3 linked regions of the Sus scrofa genome follow. The protein of the gene in region 1 interacts with the protein of each later gene in a pairwise test. Links are inferred from orthologs where the notes say so. Each region holds a gene or a part of one and is shown in the gene's direction. Other genes may lie near its edges.

The links.
Region 2: the proteins of CKS1B (region 1) and MEOX1 interact in binary tests that used the Homo sapiens proteins (3 or more experiments, as listed by UniProt). The two-hybrid records come from large-scale screens. The link is inferred for Sus scrofa from reciprocal best matches to the Homo sapiens genes CKS1B and MEOX1.
Region 3: the proteins of CKS1B (region 1) and SPERT interact in binary tests that used the Homo sapiens proteins (3 or more experiments, as listed by UniProt). The two-hybrid records come from large-scale screens. The link is inferred for Sus scrofa from reciprocal best matches to the Homo sapiens genes CKS1B and CBY2.

What each region holds. Positions count from the first base shown.
Region 1 is NC_010446.5:94,816,766-94,820,907, reverse strand, and holds the start of CKS1B (cyclin-dependent kinases regulatory subunit 1), read left to right. Parts: upstream 1-1,324; 5' UTR 1,325-1,376; coding exon 1,377-1,435; exon of another isoform or gene 1,436-2,682; intron 2,683-3,910; coding exon 3,911-4,038; intron 4,039-4,142.
Region 2 is NC_010454.4:19,430,085-19,434,251, forward strand, and holds the start of MEOX1 (homeobox protein MOX-1), read left to right. Parts: upstream 1-1,318; 5' UTR 1,319-1,782; coding exon 1,783-2,251; intron 2,252-4,167. UniProt on the Homo sapiens protein: Mesodermal transcription factor that plays a key role in somitogenesis and is specifically required for sclerotome development. Required for maintenance of the sclerotome polarity and formation of the cranio-cervical joints.
Region 3 is NC_010453.5:21,617,854-21,622,229, reverse strand, and holds the start of SPERT (spermatid-associated protein), read left to right. Parts: upstream 1-1,527; 5' UTR 1,528-1,561; coding exon 1,562-1,615; intron 1,616-4,376.

The sequences.
Region 1 (4,142 bases):
AGGTATGAGACAAACAGCTGTTTCTGGGGTGGAGTCGGTCCTGGGAAGGGAAACTCAGGGAGTGGGGTTGGGAGTCTATGAGCAAGTCTCCCTCCCGCTCTCGTGCCAAACCCCAAGTCCAGCCCCCTACAAGTAGGTCCACCCTTGTAAGGGGATAAGGACAAGGGCTGCCTCTAATCTCTTACTTCTCAGAACCAGAGATGTGAACTTTTGCCTTCCTACCCGGTGGAGCATGAGAGCTCAGGAAAATTGAGCTAGAGGCCCCAAAGAGAAAAAGAACAGGGAAATGTAAGCAGGTGACGTTCCAGGGGCTGAAGACAAAGCTCCCCAGGCGATGACCTGGGACCTACAGGGATAAAGATCTTGAGGGGGCGTGGTCCCTTAGGACGCGTGCATCAGAGATTTCCAGGAGGCCAGGCTTCTGGGCGATCAGACGTGGATTAGGGAAGGGGCGGAGCTTCTAGAGGGGCGGAAACCCTAGAGAGGAGTGGCTTCACGAATTCAAGCAGATCTTTGAGGGGCAGGGCTTTGCCCTTTGGGGAGATAGGCTTTTTGACAGACAGGAGTTAGCGGAGAATCGTCGCGAGGCGGGGTTTCGGGTAATTGGAAAGACTTAACGTTGGGTTTCTAGGAGTAAGGCTTGGAAGCATGTCTAGGGGTGGGACTTCCAGGAAAGCTGGGCGACGGGGTGGGGTCGGGGACAATAAACGGAAAATAAGTCGGGGTTCAGGGAGCCCCCTGAAGTTGGGAGGTGGGACTTCCGGGGAGGGGGTCGCAGGGGGCGGGACTTATAAATGAAGACCGGAAGTAGGGTCCCGGGAGAGGGGTTCCGGGGTGGAGGGGAGGTTCGCCTAAGGAGAAAAAAAAAGGTCCCAACTCACCAGGGCTTCATGGGGTCTCCGCACCGCACCGCGGGTCGATTTGGTTCCGGATCACGCCACTGCCTCCTTAGGTCGCCGCTCCAACTTTCTCCCCGGGCCCGGCCTCCCTGGAGAAACTTTATTGCACTCACTTCCGGCCTTACTAACCCCTGACCCTCTACCTCATCGTCCCTCCTTCACCCGTCCCACTTTCCCAAATCAGCCAATGATGCGCGAGAACGCTCACAGGGCAGTGATAGCCTATAAGAGGCCTATTTTTGCCCTACGTTTTTCTTTAGAAACTTAAGCAGTGCACTCCAATAAGGACCTGAAGAGAAGCAAATCTAAGCCAATCGAAGGCTTGGAAGTGGAGTTGTCCCGCCTTCCGCCAGGCGGACCAATAGGAAGCGCGGGCGGCGTGTTTGAAAGCGAGGCCAAAGAGGGTGGGAGCGCGTGCTGCTGGGAGTTGTTTGGAGGTTGGCGGTGCGGTGTTGACGGTCCTCTGGCAGAGCGATCATGTCGCACAAACAAATTTACTATTCGGACAAATACGACGACGAGGAGTTCGAGTACCGGTTAGTGCCGGCGCGGGGGCAGTATCGAGGTGGTGAGCTTTGACAAGTGTGGGCACGAGGAATTAGTAACAGGGACCGAAGGTATAGAGTCGGCGCATGCGCAAGAGGTTAACGGGAATGGGTGTGCGCTTTGAGCGTAAGGCGCATGCGCTAAGGGTAGGGGGTCGCTCAAAAAAGCCTAAAAGTGGTAGTGAATTTGTAGTAAGCTCTCCCGTGGGGAGGAGGCGTAGGTGGGCGTGGTTAGAGTGCTGACCATCCCCACTCTTGAGGGTTTCTGGATCATTCTCTCCAATTTGCTCAGCAGATTGAACTTGACTTCTTGAGACTGCTTGTATCACCGCAACACCACAGAGCCTCTGGGGTCGGGAGAAGCTCGAATTTTCCTCGCCTCTTCAAAGTGAGGGGAGTTCTGAGAGAGCCTGAGTGGTGTTCATTAATTCTTGGAAAAGGAGCGTGGTTGTCTGGCTTGTTTTATAGGAAGGGGGCTTTGAAGATCAGGAGTGGAATAAAACTGGCCAGAAGCATTGAGTAAAGACTTAATACGGACCTAATAGATGACCTTCAAATATTTGAAGGGCATCTACTTGGGAAACAGCTTATAGGTTTCAGATGTTGTGCTAAAGTGCAGGGATAAGCCATGGTGCCTGCTTTCACCAAAACTTTTTTAAGTCTGTGGAAATACTCAGAAGGTGGTACTTGGCATGATAGAACTTTGTACAGGCTGTGATGGGAGCAGTAGGACTTGCCAAGCACAGCGAAGAAAGTGAGTCGCTCCAGAGTTTGCATTTGATAAATCCTAACCATAATTCTAGATTAGAAAATTAGGGAAGAAAAGGAGTTCTGCAAATGTTGGCATTCCACCAATCTGTGTTAATTGTAATACTTAAAACACCTGGAAGCTTGGTTGTTTTGTATTTCTTCTGCAGCCTAGTGCAGGGCTCTGGGCCCTCTGGAGAACTTGGAGTGTGCCAACAAATACATAACTATATGTATGCCACATGGTTGGGAAAAGACCCCGAGCCCTGTTTGGACCTAATTAACTTTCTTTTCCTCACCTGTTTTCCTCTCCATCTAAAGGAGGCTAACTAAAATTAGGTGCTTATAATTTATAAGGGCTAGGGGAACATCACTAGTTTCCTCCCCTGGAATATGTAAGACTTGGCAGTGATACCTGGTTTAAGAGAAGAGGTTTTATTATGTGTTGCTTTTTTTATTTGTTTTTTGGGGCTATTGGGATTTTTTTTTGTCTAAATGGGTATGGAAGCCAGTCTTTACTCCAGGGACTTATTAGGATGTAAGCTATTTTCAAATATTTAGACTAGAATGGACTCTTTGGGGTTCCCGTTGTGGTTCAGCGGTCATGAACCTGACTAGTATCCATGAGGATGCAGGTTCAATCCCTGGCATCGCGCAGTGGGTTAAGGATCTGGCATTGCCATGAGCTGTGGTTTAGGTCCCAGACGCTGCTCTGATCCTGAGTTGCTGTGGATGTGGCAGCTTTCATAGGCCACAAGTGAGGCTCTAAAAAGAAAAAAAAAAAATGTCTCTTTGGAGAAAAAAAAAATCTGTTAGCACAGAGAGAGCATTCGGTACATTTTCATTGAACATGCTAAAGTCTGTCTGGGTCAGCCCAATCCAAATCAGAATAGTAACTTCTTTGCCATGAAAGGGACTTATGCTTGATTAGGAAAGCATGCAGTTTCCCAAAAGAAATCTCATGGCACATCCCTTCAGAGTTAGGAAAGTAAAATTAAAGGAGAAGACATTTACATTTCTGCCTTTGTGCTGGCTGCTTTTTTTTTTTTTTTTTTTTTTTTTTGGCTTTTTAGGGCTGCACTAGCAGCATATAGAGGTTCCCAGGCTAGGGGTTGAATCAGAGCTGTAGCCACCAGCCCACGCCGCAGCATCTGCTGCCTACACAACAGCTCACGGCAACACCAGATCCTTAACCCACAGAGCGAGGCCAGGCATTGAAACTGCGTCCTCATGGACACTAGTCAGAATCATTTTCCCTGAGCCACAGTGGAAACTCCTGTATTGGCTTTTCTATACAGTACTCCCTGATAGGCCTTTCCTGTCCATGAAATCATGTCCCTCCCTTCCTTACCAACCCTGTGCAAAACTGCCTTTAATTATTAACACTGTGTGTGTTGTGGGGCTCCCATTATATTGTTCTAGGGTAATCAACTAGAAGACTGTAATCTCCGAGAAGGCTGAGGCAGTGCCTGGAATTTAGGTGCTCCTTCACTGGTGTTATCCATTAATTTGTACTTTTTAATATCCTTTTGTAAGAATTTACGTAACGTGGCCTTTATTTTCTAGCTGCCTCTGCCCCACAGTGAGATTATACAAACTCCCTGCCATTAGGAACCGGTTTTTCTTTCCTTTCCTCTCTTGGTTGTAAATGCAGGCACTCGTCTGACAGTGTACCCGGTAATGAAACCAATTCCCCGCCTTCCCATGTTTCTGTTACAGGCACGTCATGTTGCCCAAGGACATAGCCAAGCTGGTCCCTAAAACCCATTTGATGTCTGAATCTGAATGGAGGAACCTTGGCGTTCAGCAGAGTCAGGGATGGGTCCACTATATGATCCATGAACCAGGTCAGTGCACTGGCAGAAAGCAATCATGTAGGCCTGTGGGAATAAAGGAATGATAAGATCACATGGCCCAGAGAAATAAGGGGAAGGTGGGGGTGGTTTACTGC
Region 2 (4,167 bases), on another chromosome or scaffold:
ATTTCGGCCCCAGTCCTGCAGCTCTGGGCTGTGGAATAGTCAGTAAGAGAAGAGCTCTGACCCCATGTGCTTGGAATGTCATCCTCCAAGAATTTTTTTTTTTTTTTGTCTTTTTCTAGGGCTACGCCCATGTCGTATGTGGGTTCCCAGGCTAGGGGTCGAATCGGAGCTGTAGCTGCCGGCCTACGCCAGAGCCACAGCAACGCTAGATCCAAGCTGCATCTTCAACCTACACCGCAGTTCACGGCAACGCCAGATCCTTGACCCACTGAGCGAGGCCAGGGATTGAACCCTCAACCTCATGGCTCATAGTTGAAATCATTAACCACTGAGCCACGATGGGAACTCCCCCTCCAGGAAATTATATTAACCCTCCAGAGAGACCAGCAGGGCCTGGGGATTGAGTGGACTAATTGGACGGTTGAAATGGCCTTGGGGCCTCCAGGGACGGGCACCAGCCTGGAAGACCATGCAACTGTGTGCCGAAGAGAACTCCTTTGGGAATGAGAATCGCCCTGATTGCTATTTCCATGCCCAGGTTCCATGGAAACCCTGGCCTCTGGGGGTTAGGGGAAGCAGGTGGGTGAAGGTTAGGAGGCCAGAGAGCAGGTGGGGGAGGCCTGGAGGAACTTCAAGGAACTTATCTGACAGTCTTTCCCTTGCCATGGAGAAAAATGACTTGAAACCCCTCTAGAGATGAGTGTGGCGAATTGGCATGTAAGTTGGGGGTTAAAGAGCGGAAGGAAGAATCTGATTGTTTTTTTAAGTTACTGGGAAAGTGAGAATGTCACTTTGGGCCGAGAGAAACCCTTTTTTTTTTTTTTCTTCTAGAGTGTGTCTTTCTACTATAGACGGTAGTGGGCCGCTGAGACTTGCAAAAAAAGCTTTCTTTTAATCCACCTTCCTTTTGCCAAGCAGCAGTAGAAGGGCCTTTAAATCAAATGCAATCAGCAAACTTGTCTCTTGCACTTATTCCCAGCTTCACTCCCTGGAATTTGGCACTTGATGGATGCTGGATCTGACTTAAGGCTTTTTCCAAATCCGAGACTTGGGGAATTTTGTTAACAGTGCAATAAAATAACTTCATAGTGTTATAGGAGGCACATTAAAGAAATTGTGTGTGTGCTGCTCTCTCTCCTTAAAAAAAAAAAAAAAAATACAGACAATGTTTCTTTAAAAGACTCCATCTGCAAATCCCATTAGATGTGCATATAAGGTTTCTGATGATTAATAGTTGCCTGCTCGGGTTTTGGTTGGAGGGGATGGTGTGTGTGCTGGTTAACCCCTCCCTCTCCTCTCTCACATTTCACTTCAGAAATTTGTCACTCTCTCCCCACCGCAGGATTTAAAAGTGTGTCTCAGCAGCCCTGGACCAGCTCTCTGCAGGCGTTTGCTGCAGGCTCCAGGACAAGCGCTCTTTAGCTGGTGCGTCTGGGCTGGGACAGTGAAAATGTTGAGTGTCATCAGCGACACATACACGTACAGGGGACCCCAATAGGCAAGCTGGTGCGTCGGGGGGGCCAGGAAGCCAGGAGTGAAGTCTGATAGAGGTGTGTACACACGTGTGTGGAGCCAGCCACCTGTGTGCGGACCGTAAGGAGCGACTTTAGTTTTGGTGTTTGTTTGGGGTCCTGGGTGGAATTTTTCTGTTGAACATTTTTCTCTTCTGTTTAAAAAAAAAAAAAAAAAAAAATTTTTTTTTTTTTTTGCATTTTTAACAAATTGAGTATAAAGTATACCAATCCAGCCTTTGAAAGGACTGAGACGTGGGGCAGACGACAGATGGATCCAGTGGCCAGCAGCTGCATGAGGGGCCCCCACCCCCCAGCCCCGGTCTGGGGCTGCCTTCGAAACCCCCACTCAGAAGGCAGCGGGGCCTCAGGGCTCCCCCACTACCCGCCGACCCCGTTCTCCTTCCACCAGAAACCAGACTTCACAGCGACAGCGACGACAGCGTACCCTGACTTCTCGGCCTCCTGCCTGGCGGCCACCCCGCACAGCCTGCCCCAGGAGGAGCGCCTCTTCACTGAGCAGCACCCCGCCTTCCCACAACCCCCTGACTGGCCCTTCCCTGTCTCGGAGGCCCGGCGGAGGCTCAACCCAGGCCCGGCGGGGGGCTCCAAGGAGATGGGGGCCCGCAGCCCAGGCCTGGTGGACACCACGGGTGGCCCGGGCGAGGACTACGAGGTCCTTGGGAGCAGTGCCAATGAGACGGAGAAGAAGTCAACCAGACGGAAAAAGGAGAGTTCAGGTAGGTGGCTGGGGAACAGCTGACGTTTCCTTTACTGTGTGATCTCGGGGCGGTTGCTTGCCCTCTCTGAGCCTAGGTGCCCTGACCGTAAATTGGGATCTAACCTAATCAGAGGCGGGGACTAGACCAGTTACCTCGGAGTTTCAGGAGTCTCTGGTGATGGGGGCTATGACTATGTCCCCAGCCTTCCTGGGCCCCAGAAAAATGTGCCAGCGAGAGAATGAAACAGGATCCACATCGAGTTGGAGGGCATGTGGGAGGGAGCCTCTGGGTAGAGGCTGGCAAGGGCCGCAGAGGGGCTTTCCTGCATCTGGGCTGCCTCTGGGTCATGCTTCTCCCCACCACACCCCAGCCAGCTCCAAACAGTCCCAGAGCCCCAGGACTTGCTCCCAGGGGCATCAGCTAAAACCGAGACTTGGAAGGTTAAGATCAAGGCTGGGACCCTGGGCAGCCAAGCAGAACCAGAACTCTGTGTGTCCAGGAGGCAGAGGAGCAGGCACAGGGCGGGGATGCAAGAGGCAAGCACTGAGCTTTGGGGCCGACCACCCAGGAGGTACCACCCTACCCAGCAGGCCAGGCCCAGGCCAAAGGGTCAGCTCAGCCTGCTAAGGTCTGGGTGACCCCCAGGGCAGGCTGCCCCTCTGAGGAGCCCTCCAGAGAGAATCAGGGAGGCAGGCAGCAGAGGGCAAGCACTGGATCTTGGCGTGAAGGTAACGCCCAGCTTGGTGCTGGAGCCCCCGAGGCCAGAGGCTGGAGCTGGGCTGCTTGCTAAGATCCCAGCTAAAGTCCATCTCCTCCCCGTGGTGGGGACCTGTTTTTTCCTCATCTCCCAGTGGGACCCCCCCTAGCCCCCCACCACGGGCTTCTCTCACCTCCTGTTCACCTTTGGCCTGGATCCCTCCCCCATCTCACACAGCACAAGACAGTGCCCTGGCCTCCTGCCCCTTCTGCCCCATTGTGTCTTCCTGACAACTGCTTCGGGGTACATCTGACTGTCTGAACCTACAGAGGACCCTTCTTGGGGCTCACCAGGGGCAGGCTGAAAATGAGAGGAGCAGCCAACCAAAGAAAACATGCTCCGCTTTGCTTTACAAAGCGCTTTCAACGTAGCACAGACTTCCCGAGCATCTTCTCTTTGCCAAGAGGCCCTGGGGTTGCAGAGATGAAAAGGCGGTCTCACTCCCACCTCCAAAGAGCGCAAACGGAGAGGGAGGGGAGGTCAGCAGGTGCCTGTCTGGCAGTGGATGTGCTCTGATTCAGGGGGTTCGAGGTGCTGCAGGAAACATACCATAGCTCTTTTGAGTCCCACAGGTTTTCGAGTTTGATACAGCAGGTCTTATCAGTGACTTGATTCTTTAGGCGTGGAAAAGGAGAAACTTAAAAGTTTGAGGGGAGCACTGCTAGCAAGGAGTCAAAACAGAACGACCCATTCATCTCAAGGAAGCCAGGACTTTTCCAGTTTTAGCATTGAAAGTTCAGCACCCCAGGGACAGTTAGTCACCCAAGAAGAAAACTCAAACCCCAGACTTCAGACCCCAAACCCACCCCCTTCGGTAGATTTCAAGCACAATTCTTCATTTTGAAATATTGGGTCTCCAGGCTTGAAGAAGCCTCTCGGTGTGCTTGCAATGAATGATAAAAACCACAGCCCTCCAGGCTGCTCAGTAGACGGGCCCTTTAAGTCCCCAGTCGGCTAAATCCTGACCTATTCCTAGGCTTGGCTGGAGATGTGCCGAGAACGGGGCATTTCTGCTTCTCCTCTCCAAGAAGCTCTCAGCCACTTGGCTCTGCACCTCGTTGAAGAGCCCTCCCCTCTGTGGCGCCTGCCACCGTAGCTCCTCCATCTCTGCCCACATCCACCTTGGCTGCATCCAGGGACCTGGGAGCCAAGGGCACTGGGAAGACTCGGGCAAAGC
Region 3 (4,376 bases), on another chromosome or scaffold:
GAGATAGAAATAAGAATCTTAGGAGTTTCCATCGTGGCGCAGTGGAAACGAATCCTGACTAGGAACCATGAGGTTGTGGGTTCGATCCCTGGCCTTGCTCAGTGGGTTAAGGATCTGGGGTTGCCGTGAACTGTGGTGTAGATCGCAGATGCAGCTTGGATCTGGTGTTGCTGTGGCTGTGGTGTAGGCTGGTGGCTACAGCTCCAATTGGACCCCTAGTCTGGGAATCTCCATATGCTGTGGGTGCGGCCCTTAAAAAAAAAAAAAGAATCTTAGAAAAGGTGGTAGGTTTAGGCACCTCCACTCCAAAAACTTTCAGAAGGCTTTGCCATCAACTGTAAAATATCTTATCAGATATCACTTTCACATCCTTTCAGACTCAGATTTTCATAAAGTACATTATTAGCAAGAAGGGATAAGTGAGCAGTAGAAAGTCTTGTTTTCTGGGTGAGCATCTGAGGCCCAGAGAAGGGGCCGGGAAGCAGAAATCCATTTATTTTCTCTTTTCCGCAGCACTCGAGGCCAAATTTTACAAGAAAAAGAGATACCAGATGTGAAAGCCTAGAAATTCCAATCAATGTGGTTCTGCCTCAGGTAGGGATAATCACAGAAGGATGCAACCCTTCAGTTAGCCAGAATAACCCTCCCCTTTCAAAACTCTAGCCTGAGGACATGGAGCAGGCAGAGCCAGCAAGGCCTCCGATTCTAGTTGTAGGGCAGCTGCCAAGCCAGCAGTGTGGCTGGGGGAGGGCACTTAAGCCATTCTGAGTCTTGAATGGGGGGTGGGGAGGGAGCTTGTTAGGTGATCTGATAAGATCTTCCGGCCCTACCCCTTGAAATCTCTGTGACACTCTGAAATAAGCCAGTCTCTCCAAAATTAGATCTTTTGGCGTTGGCTGTTCTGCAACTTCTCTGGATTTCTGGCAGGTCCTGGGAGGTGGCTGGCAGACAATGAGATCTGAGACTTGGAATCAAAAACGCAAGACCTGGAGTTCCCATTGCGGCCCAGCACTAACAAACCCAAGTAGTATCCATGAGGACACGGGTTCGATCCCTGGCCTCATCCAGCGGGTTAAAGATCCGTTGTTGCTGTGAGCACTGGTGTGGGTCGCAGAGGAGGCTCGGATCTTATGTTGCTGTGGCTGTGGTGTAGGCCAGCGGCTACAGCTCCAATTCAACCCCTAGCCTGGGAACCTCCATATGCCGCCGGTGTGGCCATACAAAGAAAAACAAACAAACAAAAAACAAAACCAAAAAACATATGACTTGAACCCATGAGGAGACAACCTAGGACTCAGCCCAAGGGGTGCAGGGTCATCTGGGGGTGTCAGGAGAATTAAGACCTGCTTTTTGCCCAAGACAAGAGTATGGGGGGGCGGGGCTTGCAGGATTCCGAATGGAAGCCCGTGAATGGATGACGGGCTGGAGATTCTCAGCTCTCCGCCTGCTAAGCAGCCGTTTCCCTGGAGGGGTTCTCCTGATTGGATTGTTTCCATGGCTATGTCACAAAGGGGGGGCAGCCTTGCTTCTTCAGAGTCACCTAAGGCCCTGCTGGAAGATCATGGCTGTGCAGCCGGAGGGGCTGAAATGTAGGGCGGAGGAATCCAGCGTAGAGGTAGCCACCCAGAGAGCTCTGTCCAGGGCTGTGTAGGAACAGGACTGACTGCCCCTGGGCATCCTGGCCTTTCGGAGGACGTGAGGCACTGCTGCTGCGCACAAGTCCTGTGTCAGGTTCCGGACCCTCAGCAGGATGCTCCAGGCCGGCAGTCCTGGGTGGGGGAAGGGTGCGTCTCTAAGTTTAGATGAGATGTGGGCGCGTTCAGGTCCGGTTTGTTCAGGGTGGTGTGGCTGTAGTCTGTAAGTTTAGATGATCTGAACTGGGCCACCTCTAGGACTGTGAGGGACCAGTGTGCTGACTCGATCTCCCCAGAGGAGATTGTGCATGGCTGGCGGCGGGGCAAGGACCGATCTGCTTAACACGGCGGGGGTTGGGGGGGGAGAGAGGGAGATGCCCTGAGCACTGATGTGTGATGTGATCACGTGGTGGGCATGGGGCCAAGCAGCGTGAGGGAGACTGTGTAGGAATTGAAACCCAGAAGCCCCACTAGTAAGGCAGGGCTGGAGCTGGAGGCTTGAAACCAGGTCAGTGCCTCTTCCTCTGCTGTGCCCCCGGCTGGGCACAGGCCAGCTGCGTCTTCCCTGGCTTTTAGGACATGGTACCTCCCCTCCCCCCCATCTTTACTGCCTACCCCCGAGCTCCCTGCAGGTCTCTGCCACATTCTGCTTCCTTCTGAGACCAAGTCCATTCGTCGCAGCAGGGAACAGCCACAAGCAGCCCTGAGCCCTGCATTGCCAGAAAGCGCCTCTGGCCTCCTGGCTCCCAAACAAGCCGCCAGGCACGCATCTCAGTTACATTGCAGATGCCTATGGCTCACTGTTTGTTATCACCCTGTGGTCTTTTCAGGTCTTATTGATTTTCAGTTTTTCTTCCTCACATTAGGGACTTGTACTTTCTGAGCTCTTTCCCTCCAGCGCGTTAACCATCAGTGCCCAAGCTCTCTGCCCTCCTGGGTCCTTTTGTACATAACAATTCAGTTCGGGCGGAGGGGGGGGGTCGCAGTTCCCCAGTGAGCGCTCTCTGGGAACTTCCTAAAGGCACTGTTTACTGCCAGACCATTGATGCAGGACCTACACCAGGTCAGGATGCATTCTGACAGCGACCCCCTTCCACTCCTGCCGCCCCCCATCCCTCTCTGTTCCCTTGTCCCAGTCCCCTGGGTTTGGGTTTGTTCTTCAGAAGCTATGGACTCTGCCGACCATGCCTGCACCTCTGCCAGTTTGAATAAGCTTTAGGAAGAAGATGTCAGAAGATTCCGTGTTCAACAATTAGCAAAAATGAGCACAGAGGATGGCAGATGACATCTTTATCCTCTTTGCTGTTAATGTTATGATTCTATCAAGATCAATCACATTGACCTGTGAATTATCCTCTTATCTGCTGGCATTTATGAAAACCAACATTGACTTTCTCATGGCACTCGGGAGCAGAGTTAATTTAAAAATATGATAATGAGGCTCAGGCTTATCACCTGGTCTGAAAATTAGTGGCGTGGCTGGTCTTTCCTTCCAGCATCCTGGGGCCTCTCAGCTTCACACGCCTGAAAGGGAACCTCCGGTGGCTGAATGTTCTGTGATTGTAACCCTCAGTGACGCTGCCAAAGCAGGGCTTTAATGGACTTGGTCGGAGTTCCCAGTGTGGTGCAGGGGAAACAAATCTGACTAGGAACCATGAGGTTGTGGGTTCGATCCCTGGCCTTGCTCAGTGGGTTAAGGATCTGGTGCTGCCGTGAGCTGTGGTGTATGTTGTAGATGGCGTTGCTGTAGCTGTGGTGTAGGCCGGCAGCTACAGCTCTGGTTAGACCCCTAGCCTGGGAACCTCCATATGCCACAGGTGCAGGCCTAAGAAGACAAAACAAAAAAAACAAAACACGAGATGCTGGGGAGAAGGACAGGCCTGATGCTAAGGACAGATCCCCAACCACAGGGGGGATTTAGGCATCTGTGCGGGAGATGTTGGTGCCCAGAGCCCTTCCTGGGCCCTCAGCATGAATGCATCCTACTTATGTCACAGCTGGGAGCACATTGCTCTGAGGCCAACCTGTTTGGTTGCCTGGCTAATAAAGCCTTTGGAAAGAACCCCACAGCTATGAGTCTTCCCCTCCTGCATCCTGCATCCTTCTTTGCATCCCCTTCTTCCACGGGGAATCCCACCTTTTCCTCTCCCACCTCCTGGGTCTGCATCCACATGCCAGGGCACTGCCCACAGATCAGGGAGGAGACCAATCCTTTTCTTCATGGGAAACCTGGCCAGGCTGCTCTGGGCGCTGGGATCACTCTGGAACTTTCCGGGTGTTCCAGGAGCTTTTTATGGGCACGAACCCCTTGTTGTGAAATGTGTGGTCCTAATTCCCAGGACTGGGAACGTCAAAAAAACCTAAGGCATGGGTCACTGTCCCTAGAGAATTATATTTTATTCATCCGGGGAGAAGATGGGATGGGACATAGGAGAACCACTGCAAAGTAATGATAGCAACACACATGCATAATAAAATATCTGGACATTGCGAAGCGCTAGAATGAGCATGCAGTTTGGAGTCAGATATCCTGGTTTTAAACCCTTGCTGGCTGTGTGATCTCAGGTAGAAACACAGTAGCTCCTTTCAGTAAGATATTGCCTATAAATATGGAAATCAATTAGCACACCATCACATAGTAGTCATTCAGTAAGTGTTATTCCCTTTTCCTTGTTCCATACAGTATAAGGAAATGATAAGCAACTTCTGAATCCACACTATTCTTGCTTGTTTGTATCTCTC